Linked DNA regions of Cricetulus griseus. The protein of the gene in region 1 interacts with the protein of each later gene in a biochemical or structural test. Links are inferred from orthologs where the notes say so. Each region holds a gene or a part of one and is shown on either strand. Other genes may lie near its edges.

The links. The genes of interacting proteins can lie anywhere in the genome.
Region 2: the proteins of Cdc27 (region 1) and Pttg1 form a complex in vitro, tested with the Homo sapiens proteins (3 studies listed by BioGRID). The link is inferred for Cricetulus griseus from reciprocal best matches to the Homo sapiens genes CDC27 and PTTG1.

The regions. Positions count from the first base shown.
Region 1 is NC_048600.1:117,572,457-117,578,482, forward strand, and holds the start of Cdc27 (cell division cycle protein 27 homolog), read right to left. Parts: upstream 3,555-6,026; 5' UTR 3,443-3,554; coding exon 3,416-3,442; intron 3,292-3,415; exon of another isoform or gene 2,605-3,291; intron 1-2,604. UniProt on the Homo sapiens protein: Component of the anaphase promoting complex/cyclosome (APC/C), a cell cycle-regulated E3 ubiquitin ligase that controls progression through mitosis and the G1 phase of the cell cycle.
Region 2 is NC_048600.1:58,114,827-58,120,859, forward strand, and holds the start of Pttg1 (securin), read right to left. Parts: upstream 3,533-6,033; 5' UTR 3,465-3,532; intron 3,453-3,464; exon of another isoform or gene 2,983-3,452; 5' UTR 2,959-2,982; coding exon 2,871-2,958; intron 1,764-2,870; coding exon 1,585-1,763; intron 269-1,584; coding exon 172-268; intron 1-171. UniProt on the Homo sapiens protein: Regulatory protein, which plays a central role in chromosome stability, in the p53/TP53 pathway, and DNA repair. Probably acts by blocking the action of key proteins.

The sequences.
Region 1 (6,026 bases):
TCCAAGTTATTTCCTGAATTTCTACCTCTAAAACCTTTATCTACCCTTTTCCTGTTCCACTGCTACTCTAGATACCTTTGCTTCTAAGACGACAGGCTTCTCTTGACCATGATGCTTCTCACGTAGCAGCCATAGTATGGTACTCTTTGAAACATTATTAGGTGACACTTGGGGACATCTTATCCCAAGTCAAAAGTACTCTTTCACTATTAAATAAAACTCTAAGCTGGGCGTTGGTGGCGCACGCCTTTAATCCCAGCACTCGGGAGGCAGAGGCAGGAGGATCTCTGTGAGTTCGAGACCAGCCTGGTCTACAAGAGCTAGTTCCAGGACAGCCTCCAAAGCCACAGAGAAACCCTGCCTCGAAAAAACAAAACAAACAAAAAAAGCAACAACAACAACAAAAAACCTCTAAAAGGATGACATGAATTATGGATGGATAATACCCAAACTCCTTTATTTTGTTTTGGTTTTTGAGACATGGATTTATGTAGCTCAGGCAGACCTTGAACTCCTTATCTTCCTGCCTCTAGTTGGAGTTTCAGATGCAGATTAGCATGCAAGGTTCTTCCATCTAGTTCCTCTATTGCACAGTAAAATCATTTTCAAAAGGCTTGTCTACAATTTCATCCAATACATCTGTGAAGCTTCACTTACAGCAATAATTGATACAGCTTTATCAATTGATGCAGCTATATAAAACACCTGCCTCTTAAAACAACAACAGCTTTCAGTGAAATGGCTCAGAGGATAAAGATACTTGTCACCAAGACTGACTGACACACACATGTACACACAGTAAATGAAAGTTAAACAAGACACCATACCAACAAAAAAATGCCACTTTTACAGGCACCCAAATTAGTACTGTGAATGCCTTTAATCCCAGCCAGGGCTACACAGTGAGACTGCCACAAAAATCAATCTGTGCTTTGAAATATCAAAGATTATTTTGTAAAGACTCAAATATAAAGCCAGGTGCCTGTAATTCCAGCACTTGGGAGGCAGAGGCAGGTGGATCTCAAGTGAGTTCGAGGCCAGCTTGGTCTACAGAGAAAGTTCCAGGACAGCTTGGAACTGTCCCACAGAGAAACCCTGTCTCAAAAAACAGAAGACTCAAATATAAAGCAATGTTTTTTCTATGAGTGCTAACTTGGGGAGGGGCTTATATTTAAGTCTATATGGCACATTTCACTGGGTAAAAATTTTAAGGAGGGGGGTAGGAACAAATAGTTGTGCATTATTTCTGTCAACTTTTTCCTGTGCCTAGATCACCAGGAACAAAGTAAAGAAAATATTCTCAACACTATTTTCATCCTGATATATGGAATGAACAATTCTTAAAACAATTATCTTAGCATCTCTTTACTTTTTTCTTTCATACTAGCTCTTTCTCATTTTCAACAGCATTCCTGCTCAAAGTTAGCTAATTTCTCCCACTGCTAACTGCTCCTTTTGTTGTTATTTTGTTTTTGTTTTTTGTTTTTTTTGAGACAGGGTTTCAGATAGCCCATGTTGGCCTTGAACTTGCTCTGTAGCCAAGGATGACCCTGAACTCCTGATCCTCCGGCCAACTATAAATTATTCTCATCCCCTCACACCCCAAAACTTCTTACAATTACCCTAAAATCTAATGGAAAAAGTTATTATGGAGGAGAGGGAGGTAAATTCCACAGTACTTTAAAAACAAACAGGAAACCTGCTGGATTCTATCTTGCTTAAACAATGTATTCTACACTCTCATGGTTTTCTAGAAGTTAAAAATTTTTAAGTAGTAGTTTACATGCTGTAAACTATCATATCACTTTAGAAGCCTTCTGGCTCCAGAAAAGCAGAAAAGTAAGACAAAACTACAATATGAAATAAAAACTAATTATCTGAATAACCTCCTTATCCGTTTAATTTCATGTTAGGCCTCAAAAGGGCCTTTTAAGGGACTCTACACTAGGAAGAGAAATCTGGAAAGAAATGCAGCTTTGGAAGAATTGATACAACATACAGAGACATGGGCTGGGCAGTGGTGGCCCACGCCTTTGATCCCAGAACTCGGGAGGCAGAGGCAGACAGATCTCTGTGAGTTCGAGACCAGCCTGGTCTACAAGAGCTAGTTCCAGGATAGCCTCCAAAGCCACAGAGAAACCCTGTCTTGAAAAACAAAATAAAACAAAAAAAATAAAACAAAAAACATACAAACATATGTTTTATGTACAGTTCCGAAGATATAATCCAGAATTATATTAATTCAAATACTAATAGCTGTCACCATGTAAACATCTGGAGATGAAGTTCAACTAGGGAAACCGTATTTTAGGCTGCGATGAGACATTAAGGAAATGCTGTACTGACGTACTGAAATATTAAATATTTGTTGTCAGTCTTACCTAAGGCAATTCGCAGCAATTTCTAAAATCGGTTTGATTTATAACTTCAAAATAGCTTATGGCTTAATGATTGTAATTTAATGGAGGCCAACTGTGGTCATGTCAAAGATCATACGGTGGAATGAAACATCTCCCAAACCTGGTCCACCACCAAAGGACAATAGGTTCAGTTTCTTCAGATGTGGCAGGGGGGAAAATGACTTGGCACTGCATCACATACTTCAAAACCCAATAGGCTTTCTTCTGACAACAGCACCGTGTGCGTCAATGCATACCTTGGTGTGGTTAAGGAATGGACGAATGGTGAAATGGATGGGAAAGCAATTATCTCTAATTTCCTAAACACCTTCTAAATCAGCACGGTAAAATGCCTCCTGATACCCATCCTAGGTGATGGAAAAAATCCAGACCTGCCCTTTCGTCCACTCCCCTGCTGGGGTGTTTGCCCCGCAGCAGTGGGCCTGGGAGTTCCCTTCTCAGGTCGTCATTGTCCGGTGGGAAATCCACGGAGAACTGTAACGTGGACAAGAAAGTCTGCTCCCGAAACGAAAACCAGTACCGAAAATACGGGTAATTTTACGTCTTCCTTCGACCACCTCACGTAAAACAAAAGCAAGGAAACACCAGTAAACTTGCCCCACGGGTGTGAAATCCCACCAGCTCGGCTCAAAAGCGCTTCTGTGTCGACCCCCGGGACGCCGAGCACTCGGAGCGCCGTCTCGGGCGGCCCCTCGTCTCCCACCGCGGGCAGGAACCCAGACCAACAAGAGGGGGATGGCCGGACGCCAGGACCGACGGAAACGAGTGATTCCCGCCGAACCCGGCTGGCACAACAGGCGAGAAGTAATGCGGGGCCGGGGCTAACCTCGGCTGAGGCCGCGGGCAAGGCCTCGGGAGTGACGAAAGACAGGTAGGGGGCTCGCCGAAAGGGAGGCGGGAGAAGCGGGGCCTAGGCCGCAGCAGGCCGCGGAGTGGCTGCTCGCCGCTTGCGACCCAGGCATGGCGCCAGGCCTCGGAGCAGGCGCTAGTATTACCTGGACAGGTTCCTGCAGCACCGTCATCCTTGAGGCTCAGGCCCACTTTCTGCAGTGCCTCAGGCCCCCCCCGTAGCGACTCCGGCCCGGCCAGCCCCGGCTCATTTAAACTCACCAGCGACCGTTACCGGGGGATGGGGGAGGCCGAGTGGTTGCCGAACTCCTCCGAGCGTGACACGGAAATACCCGAAGTGGAGAGAGCCAAACGAGAGCGAGACGGAAAAGCCCGAGAGATGTCGGAAATACTCGAGGTGAGCCTCCGGAGGCGGAGTCTGTGGCCGGAAATTGGCGAGTGCTACCGGAAGTTGTTGGGTTGGGCCCAATCGGAAGTTCCTCTTCTCAGCCACGCCTTCGCCCTACGCACGCCACGCCCAATTGGCCACGCTAGCTGGGCCACGCCCAAAGAGCTACTAGTAGGATGGGCCTGGAGGGAGGGATCCGGCCGGCCGGAGTTACCTGTGGGACTGTTGGTCGGGGTAAGCGCCTCCGCCGTTCCCTGTTGTGCACGGTAGATTCAGCGAGGGGTAAAATACTAGTCTGGGGCTGAATTCAATAAAGTCTTTTGAGTTTAGGTCATTATCCACTCCTGGAATTCCTACTCAGGCCTCTGAGGAAAATCGAGGGATAATTGGAACATTGCCATTCCCCAAATATATAGGATTCCTGTATTCAAAGAGATACGGTCTGTTGCAAACAAAAACGCCTAGGCTGTGTACTTGCCTAGCATGCATGAAGCCCTAGGGGTGATCGCCAGTGTCACCTAAACATTGCTCTCCTGCTTTGGGAGGCGGACGCAGAAGTATCTAGAGTACAGGATAATTAAGAACAAGATAGCGAGTTTGAGGCAAGCTTGGGCTACCTGACACCCTGGCTCATAATTGAAAAAAAAAAAATCAGTGTAACTGAGAATTTCGTTATTTGCAACTTGTTCTGGGTGATGTAAAACTTCAACTTCAGAGAAGAGGGAAGTAAATAGGGAAATAGGGATTTAAATGATGGCTGTAGTTACAAACACTAACAGAGGGTTTAATGTCTGCTTTTTGGCCACATCCTCAGAATAAACAAAGGAACTATTAAAATCTCCCTTTTCGTCAGACAAGGAAAGCTTCTGAAAGTTAACTTTCTGTTGGGACTCCTCTGAGCTAGATGTGAAACTGGAAATCTCCTTTTTCCCCTGGATACTGAGGATCTAACCTCTCATTACTGGTAGGCTAAGCAAGTGATCAACAATTGAGCTACATCTCCAGCCCTCTTGTTACTTTTTTTTGTTTTGTTTTTATTTTAAAGTATTGAAGGTACCCAGGCTGTCTTTGAACTTTTAAAACCTGCCTCAGCCTCTCAGACTACCGCTGGCACCAGTCCTGGTTCTGGGAATCAATCAATCTCAGTCCCCCAGCCCCTCATTTCCACATTGTGTACAGATGATACAGTTAGCATTGTCATTTTAGAGATGCTGGGGGTTAGTCATCTAATGGTAGCCATCCTTTTCCTCGTCCCCCTTTCCTTCTAATAGATCCAACTGTCTCCAGACATTGCCTACATACTTGTTAGTCCCATGAAAGATGGGTGCTAAGGCAATTTCCAGCCGGCCCATGCCCTGTTCTTTTAATGGGATTGTGTTGGATGAATTAGAGTGGGAATAAACATCCGTGCTGGCCTATATAACAGTTGCTCACTATTTAAAGTTCAGTTTAAACCAAATGAAATTCTTCAGATATTCTAGTCACATCCCAAAGACCTAAGTCATTGACATAACTAGAGTTGTTATTGAAATAGCTAGAATTGGAGGACAACTTTACCCGTGAGTCTAAGGTCTTGCTAATATCTGGGCCTCTCGATTCTCCCCAACAAAACCTTTTTCTTCATACAGTGATTGCTCACCAGTCAGTGGCCTATCCTAGCTTGAATTGGTGTCTGTCAAGCAAGTCAGTGAAAACAGAAGCTTTGAGGCCCCTTCAAGCCTAGATCTGAAAGTCAAATCCATTGTTGGTCAATTTAAGACACAGGATCAGCCTGGATTTACCAGGAAAACATGCTCCATCTCTTGATGAGGGAATAGCAAAGCAACTCTGCAAAAGATATGCGCAATGAGAGGGATTGGTGGGTCATCTTTGATCCCCCACCACCACCTGGTACATTGATTTCTCCCCACCCCCATAATTTTGCAAATGCTAGGCAAACACTACCATTGAGGTCCCCCATCAGCTCCAGCCATCCTTGGAAATGGAGTCTGGCTGGGTGGTGGTGGCAGTGGTGCACGCCTTTAATCTCAGCACTCGGGAGGCAGAGGCAGGTGGATCTCTGTGAGTTAGAGACCAGCCAGGTCTACAAGAGCAAGTGCCAGGATAGGCTCCAAAGCCACAGAGAGACCCTGTCTCGAAAAACAAAACAAACAAACAAAAAAAACAAAAACAAACAAACAAAAAAACCAAAAAAAAAAAAAAAAAACCAAAAAAAAGAAAGAAAGAAAAAAACTCCCTCCCAGACATTCCCAGAGGCTCATTTCCATGGTCCGGTTACTTTAAATCCTGTCCTGTTGCCATCAAGATGAACCATCACTGATTATTAATTATTTGGAAACATTTATTAAAACAATCCAAAGCTGTGTTAA
Region 2 (6,033 bases), about 59 Mb from region 1:
TGCTCCCATTCTCCCCCTGACCGGAAGGTGATACCCTGGCAAGTGATTCCACCTGAACAAGTCTGTTTATTCAGATAGTCCCAGAGTCTGGAGCAATACATTACAGTCACATGACATTAGAGTCTAAGAGAATCTCAAGCCAAGGGCATTTCCACCATACAAAGACCTTACCTAGAGGATTGAAGGGGAAGAACTTTTCTATTTCTGGGTAGGCGTCATCAGAAGCAGGAACAGAGACTTGTTGTGTCTTAGGAGCCTTCTCAATGGTCTAGAAAAACCCAAGAGAATAAGCACCTGTGAGAATAGAAGTGAGGTTGGAGGGCCTCTTCAAATGATGATTTCACTTTAAAATTTGTCAATTCTGTGTTCTGATCCTTGGTTTTCAGGATTCAGTCAAAAGACAAGAAGAGAAGTGACTCCTGGAAGTTGTCCACCGACCTTGAAATGCATGCCATCACATGAGCAGGCCCTGCGCTACACAGATACAAAAGCTAAGGAGCTGGAGAGATGGGTGACTCAGTGGTTAAGAGCATTTAATCCTCCTACAGAGGATCCAGGTTCAGTTCCCAGCACCCACAGGGTGGCTCAAGCTATCTGTAACTCCAGCTCAAAGGAATCAATGTTCCTTTATCTCCTCCTCAGGCACATGGTACACTCATATACCACACAGGCAAACATCCACACATACAAACTAAGTATTTTTTTTAAGTTAAGTTAATCAACTCGACTGTTCAAACCTAACAGTAGAGAAGATAGGCTTGAGGCACCCCAGAATAGTAGCCAATCCTGGGAGTCATTTTTACCTTATAAAAGTATGATTTTTCTGCCACTGTTACCTTAATCATTTGCCTGGCTAATATTAAGAAGTTTATGTTCCCTTAAATATATGGGCTTAAGCAGCAGCAAAACATAAAACATCTGAAGAATACCAGGCTGACAATAGCAGTAGGCCAAAACAGAAACCTGGGTGCTCTGGATCTTATCTCATACATTTGTGTGTGCCAGACTTGGAGGTGGGGCTGTAGCTCAGGCTGGCCTCCAACCAGCCCATCCTCCAGCTTCAGCTTCCCAAGTGTTAGGATTGCAGGTGTCTATCAAACCCAGCTGAGTACTTCACACACCTGCTGGTGGCTTCTAACCAGCTGCTTCCTGAAACTTGTTAAGGAGAGCTGAGGCATTAGTTACAATCTCAAGGGTGCTGAGCAACCAGGAGCAGTACACAGTGTGATTCTCCTCTGCTCGTTTGTTTATGGACCGCTATTTATCTCCTACTTGGAAGAAAGCCAGGTAGAAGACCTAGAAGTCCATTTTTAAGCATCAGAAGTACTACAGCGGGGCTTGCGATGGCTCAATGGTTAAGAGCACCTGCTGCTTTTCCAAAGGAGCTGGATTCAGTTCCTAGCACCCATGTAAGGCAGCTCACAACTAACTGCCTGTACTTCCAGTTCCAAAGCACCCAATGCCCTCTTCTGGTGTCCTCGGGTGCCCACACACATGCACATTAATGCACATACGAAATAATAATTTTTTTTTTTTAGGTGCTAAAGCATGAACACACCCCCCATCTTCCTATCCCGAACTCACCTTTTTCACAGTCAAAGTTGGTTGCTTCTGTTTGAGGGGTCTATTGATCTTCACTGGCTTTTCTGTAACCCTGTTGACAGTTCCCAAAGCTTTTCTGCTGGCTTTAGGCAAGACTGGAGCATTGAACACTTTGCCAACTTGTGGCGCTGAGATCTGCAATTTCCCATCTGAGGCTTTGACTATTGAGAAAAAGTATAATCCTGAGAATAAATAAAGTCTGCCAAACCTGACTGCCTGAGTTCAATCCCCAGCCCCCACAAAGTGTAAGGAGAACTGACTCCCACAGGCACACCATGGAACATGTGTGAATGCCCCCACACATATACAAATATGTAAGTAAATATGGTGTTCTTAAAGATTAGGCCATATAAACACCTCAACTTGACCCAGTTCTCACTCACAAACCCATGCTTTGTTTTTGGCATTTTAGCACACTGTTAAATAACCTCAGTAAGACAGTAAGATGAAGCCGGGCAGTGGTGGCACACGCCTTTGATCCCATCACTCGGGAGGCAGGCAGATCTCTCTGTGAGTTCAGGGCCAGCCTGGTCTACAGACTGAGTTCCAGGACAGGCTCCAAAGCTACATAGAGAAACCTTGACAGAAACAATAATCTGACAACCAGGCATGGTGGCACACACCTTTAATCCCAGAACTCAGGAGACAGAGGCAGGTGGATCTGTGAGTTCAAGCCCAGCCTGGTCTACAAATCAAGTACCAGGACAGCCAGGATTGTTACTGAGAAACCCTGTCTTGGGGGGGAAAAAAAAAGACAATAATCATGAAGCCAGGCATGTGTCTTTAATTCTAGCACTTGAGGAGGCAGAGGACAAGTGGATCTCTGAGTTCAAGGCCAGCCTGATCTACATAGCAAGTTTCAATCCAGTTAAAGCTACATGGGGGTGGGGGTTTCTGCTTCAACAAATAGATTAAGCATAGAGCCTGGGGACTTGATTAGTATGTAGAGTGCTTGCCTAGCATTTGAGAAGCCCCGAGTTCAATCCACAGCATTGCATAAACCAGGCATGGTGACCATGCCTATAATCACTGCACTGGGCAGGTGGGGGCAGAAGGCTCAGAAGTTCAAGATCTCTCTAGGTTATAAAGGGAAGTAGAGGCCAGTCTGAACTACATGACACCTTTTCTAAAGTTAAAAAGATAATAAGCATGAAAATATATGAAACCTGACTCTAATCAACCACAAAGTACACTAAATGCTATGGTCTCTAGACCACAACCATCATCCACTCCCAACACCTGTATATTTGAAGCCAGCCAATACTTACCACCAGACGCCAGCTTCAACCCATCCTTGGATGCCAAACGGCTGCCTGGTTCTTCATTATCCTTATCAATAAAGATCAGCGTAGCCATCCTGGATTACTCTAGAGGAGAGACCTATTGGGGAAGGCATGAAGAGCTAAGCGGCAACGGAGACCAAAGTCTACCCAGGACACATGTGCACAAAAAAATAAGAATTAAACTAAATCTTAAACCTTCAATTTAAGAACCTTAAAACCTTCAGAGTCAGAAATACTAAACTCCTAAAGAGAAGGCAAGTGAAGTTGGCACCCATCAAAACTGTCTCCCGGCTGTAACCGCAGCGCTAGGGAGGAGAAGGCACGAGGTTCGGATATTCAGGGTTGGTCTCAAGAACATAACAAGTTCGAGACCAGCCGGGGCTGCTTGAGACCTTGAAGAGGGAGGCAGGGGAGAAAAAAATTTAAATTAAAACAGCGTCGCCGCGGGTCAAGCACGTCAAGAGCGCCCAGGGACTCGGGGCCGAGTGAGGTTCAGATCCCGACCCTGCTTCGGTCTCCAGTCTGCCCCTAGCCACCCGGAGCTCACGCACAACACCCTCACACAGCAACTAAACTCACCCAAGACTGCGCCACCAACGACACCGCACTCCGCGGTTTAAAACACAACTCGCGCTTCAATTGGACCATGCGAGAGGAGGCGGGGCCTAGAGTCTGACAACCAATGAGACCAACCGAAGTTTTTAGTTACCGCCCCCCTCCAGCGTCTCTCTCTCTCTCTCCCAGAAATTAAAAAACTAGGGTCATACATTGCTCAAAACTCCTGATGGACTTTTTGTTATCCACAGTGTGGACCTGTGAGGAAGCATTGGTCCAATAACAAAAACGTCGTTTCGCTACTTTAAACTTGTAAGACTTTTTTTTTTTTTTTTTTTTTTTTTTTTATAACAGGGTTTCATGTGACCCAGTCTGGGTGATGGGTTTCTCTGTGCAACAGCCCGAGCTGTCCTGGAACTAGTTTAGCTCTGTAGACCAAAGTCAGTGTTAGCTCACACCTTTAATCCCAGAACTGAGGAGGCAGAGGTGGGTGGATCTCTGTGAGTTTGAGGTCAGCCTGGTCTACAGAACAAGTTCCATGACAGCCAGAGCTACACAGGGAAACCCTGTCTTGAACAACAACAACAACAACAAAAAAAAAAAAAAAAAAAAAAAAAAAAAAAATGGTGCTGATAAAATTTGAGGAATGTACCTTTATTTTGAAAAGTTTTCTCAATGTTTCAGAGAGAGGTTTGTAACACTCTGAAATGCAGGACTCCCTTTTATTAGCTAAGGACTTACACCTTTACTGTCCTTCCTCTGCCCTAATCCTGTTATTCCCTTAATCTGCTTTCTCCTTGCATCTCCTTCTAAATGCTGCTTCTTCATATTAAATCACTAGCACACAAAAGTTTTGGTTTCTAAAAGAAATCTGCATAAATTCTCACAGCTTCCACATGGATATTCTCTAATTCCTTGAGAGGTTTTTCTCCCTTTCTCACCAACAGGAAACATGGTTATGCCCAGGTCCCACTGCAAGTAAATTACATAACCACAGTGTCTTTAAAGGGCCATTTGTTTTCTTAGTGATGATGTCCCTAGCTGAGCCCTGTGATTCCCACCTGTTACTGGGGAGTAATATACCCTTTTGGTTGGTAAACTACCCTCGTGTAGAATGCTGAGTCCTTAGCTAATACAAGTTTCTTCTAATCCAGCTTTGCAAAAAACACTCACCAGCTATGACCTCTACCTTCTTGGTATCTCTAGAATCTTCTTGAGAACTCAGACCTGGGGGACAATTACTCCTTCTTGTCCAGAAAGTTCTGTAATTCCTCTGGAAAAGCATTCTGGCTTTGGCCTGGCTAATTAAATCTCCACAATCTATAACTTTGGGCTCTTCGACTGAGGCAGGGATGTTAGCTATATTCATCTATATTTGAAGAGGAATTCATGTGGGGAATCGTAAATAACCACAAGACAGCACAAAGAAATTTTTCCAGGGAATAGCTCAGAGAGCTTGCTGTTCCTGCAGAGGACCTGTGGTTTAGGGATCTGACGCCAATGATGTGAAAACTCATACATCTAAAATAAAACAATGATTTAAAAAGAAAGAAAGAAATTCCACTAAAATCTATTTTCCAGTAATTTGTTTAATGTTTTCTGTCTTATGGGGGACTATTTAAATTTGTTTGTTTGAGATAGGATCTTATTATGTCACTGGCCAGGAATTCAAAGATCTGCCTATCTCTGCTGGGATTAAAGGCGTGGGCCATTATGCCTACCTTCTTGGTTTTTTTCAGTAAACATTTTTGCTAAAATTCTAGAAGGAACAAGGGTTCAACCCTGCGGGGGGCACAAAGCTGCACTGCCACCATTCTCCCTGCAGGGTGCACAACGAACTACTTGCACAGACCGCGGTCTTGTTTGTTTAAAAAAAAAAAATCTCCAAGCACTTGAGAGTGCGCATGTGTCGTCCTTCCGGAAGTTATCGCTGGGCTGCCGGACGAAGACAGGGAACCCGGAAGTAAACATTACCGGATTACTTCGTTCGCGGCGGCTGCTTTGGCGTGGCCTGCGGCCGGACTGGGTAAGTTAGGGTTCCGAGACTCAGCAGACGAACTGGGAGCCTCGGGGGAGCGGGCATTTCCTGCAGTGAGTCCTCGTGGTGACGACCCGCGGAAAGACCGCGGACCGGGATGGGGGGGAAAAGACTACCGCCCGGGGCGCAGGCGCAACCCTCGGGTCCAGCCGGACAGAGGCTGAGTCCTCAAGGAAAGAGTCCTGGTCATAGGGAGGCGGACGCCTCTGTCCCCAGAAGAATGCCTTTGTTTTGGTTTTTTGTTGTTGTTGTTTTGGTTTTTCGAGACAGGGTTTCTCTGTGCAGCTTTGGAGCCTATCCTGGAACTAGCTCTTGTAGACCAGGCTGGCCCCGAACTCACAGAGATCCTCCAGCCTCTGCCTCCCGAGTCTGGGATTATAGGCGTGCGCCACCAACACCCCGCAAAAGTTTAAATTACTTTTCTTTTTCGATTTTTCGAGACAGGGTTTCTCCGTGCTGCTTTGGAGCCTATCCTGGCACTCGCTCTGGAGACCAGGCTGGCCCGAACTCACAGAGATCCGCCTGCCTCTTCCTCCCGAGTGCTGGGATTAAAGG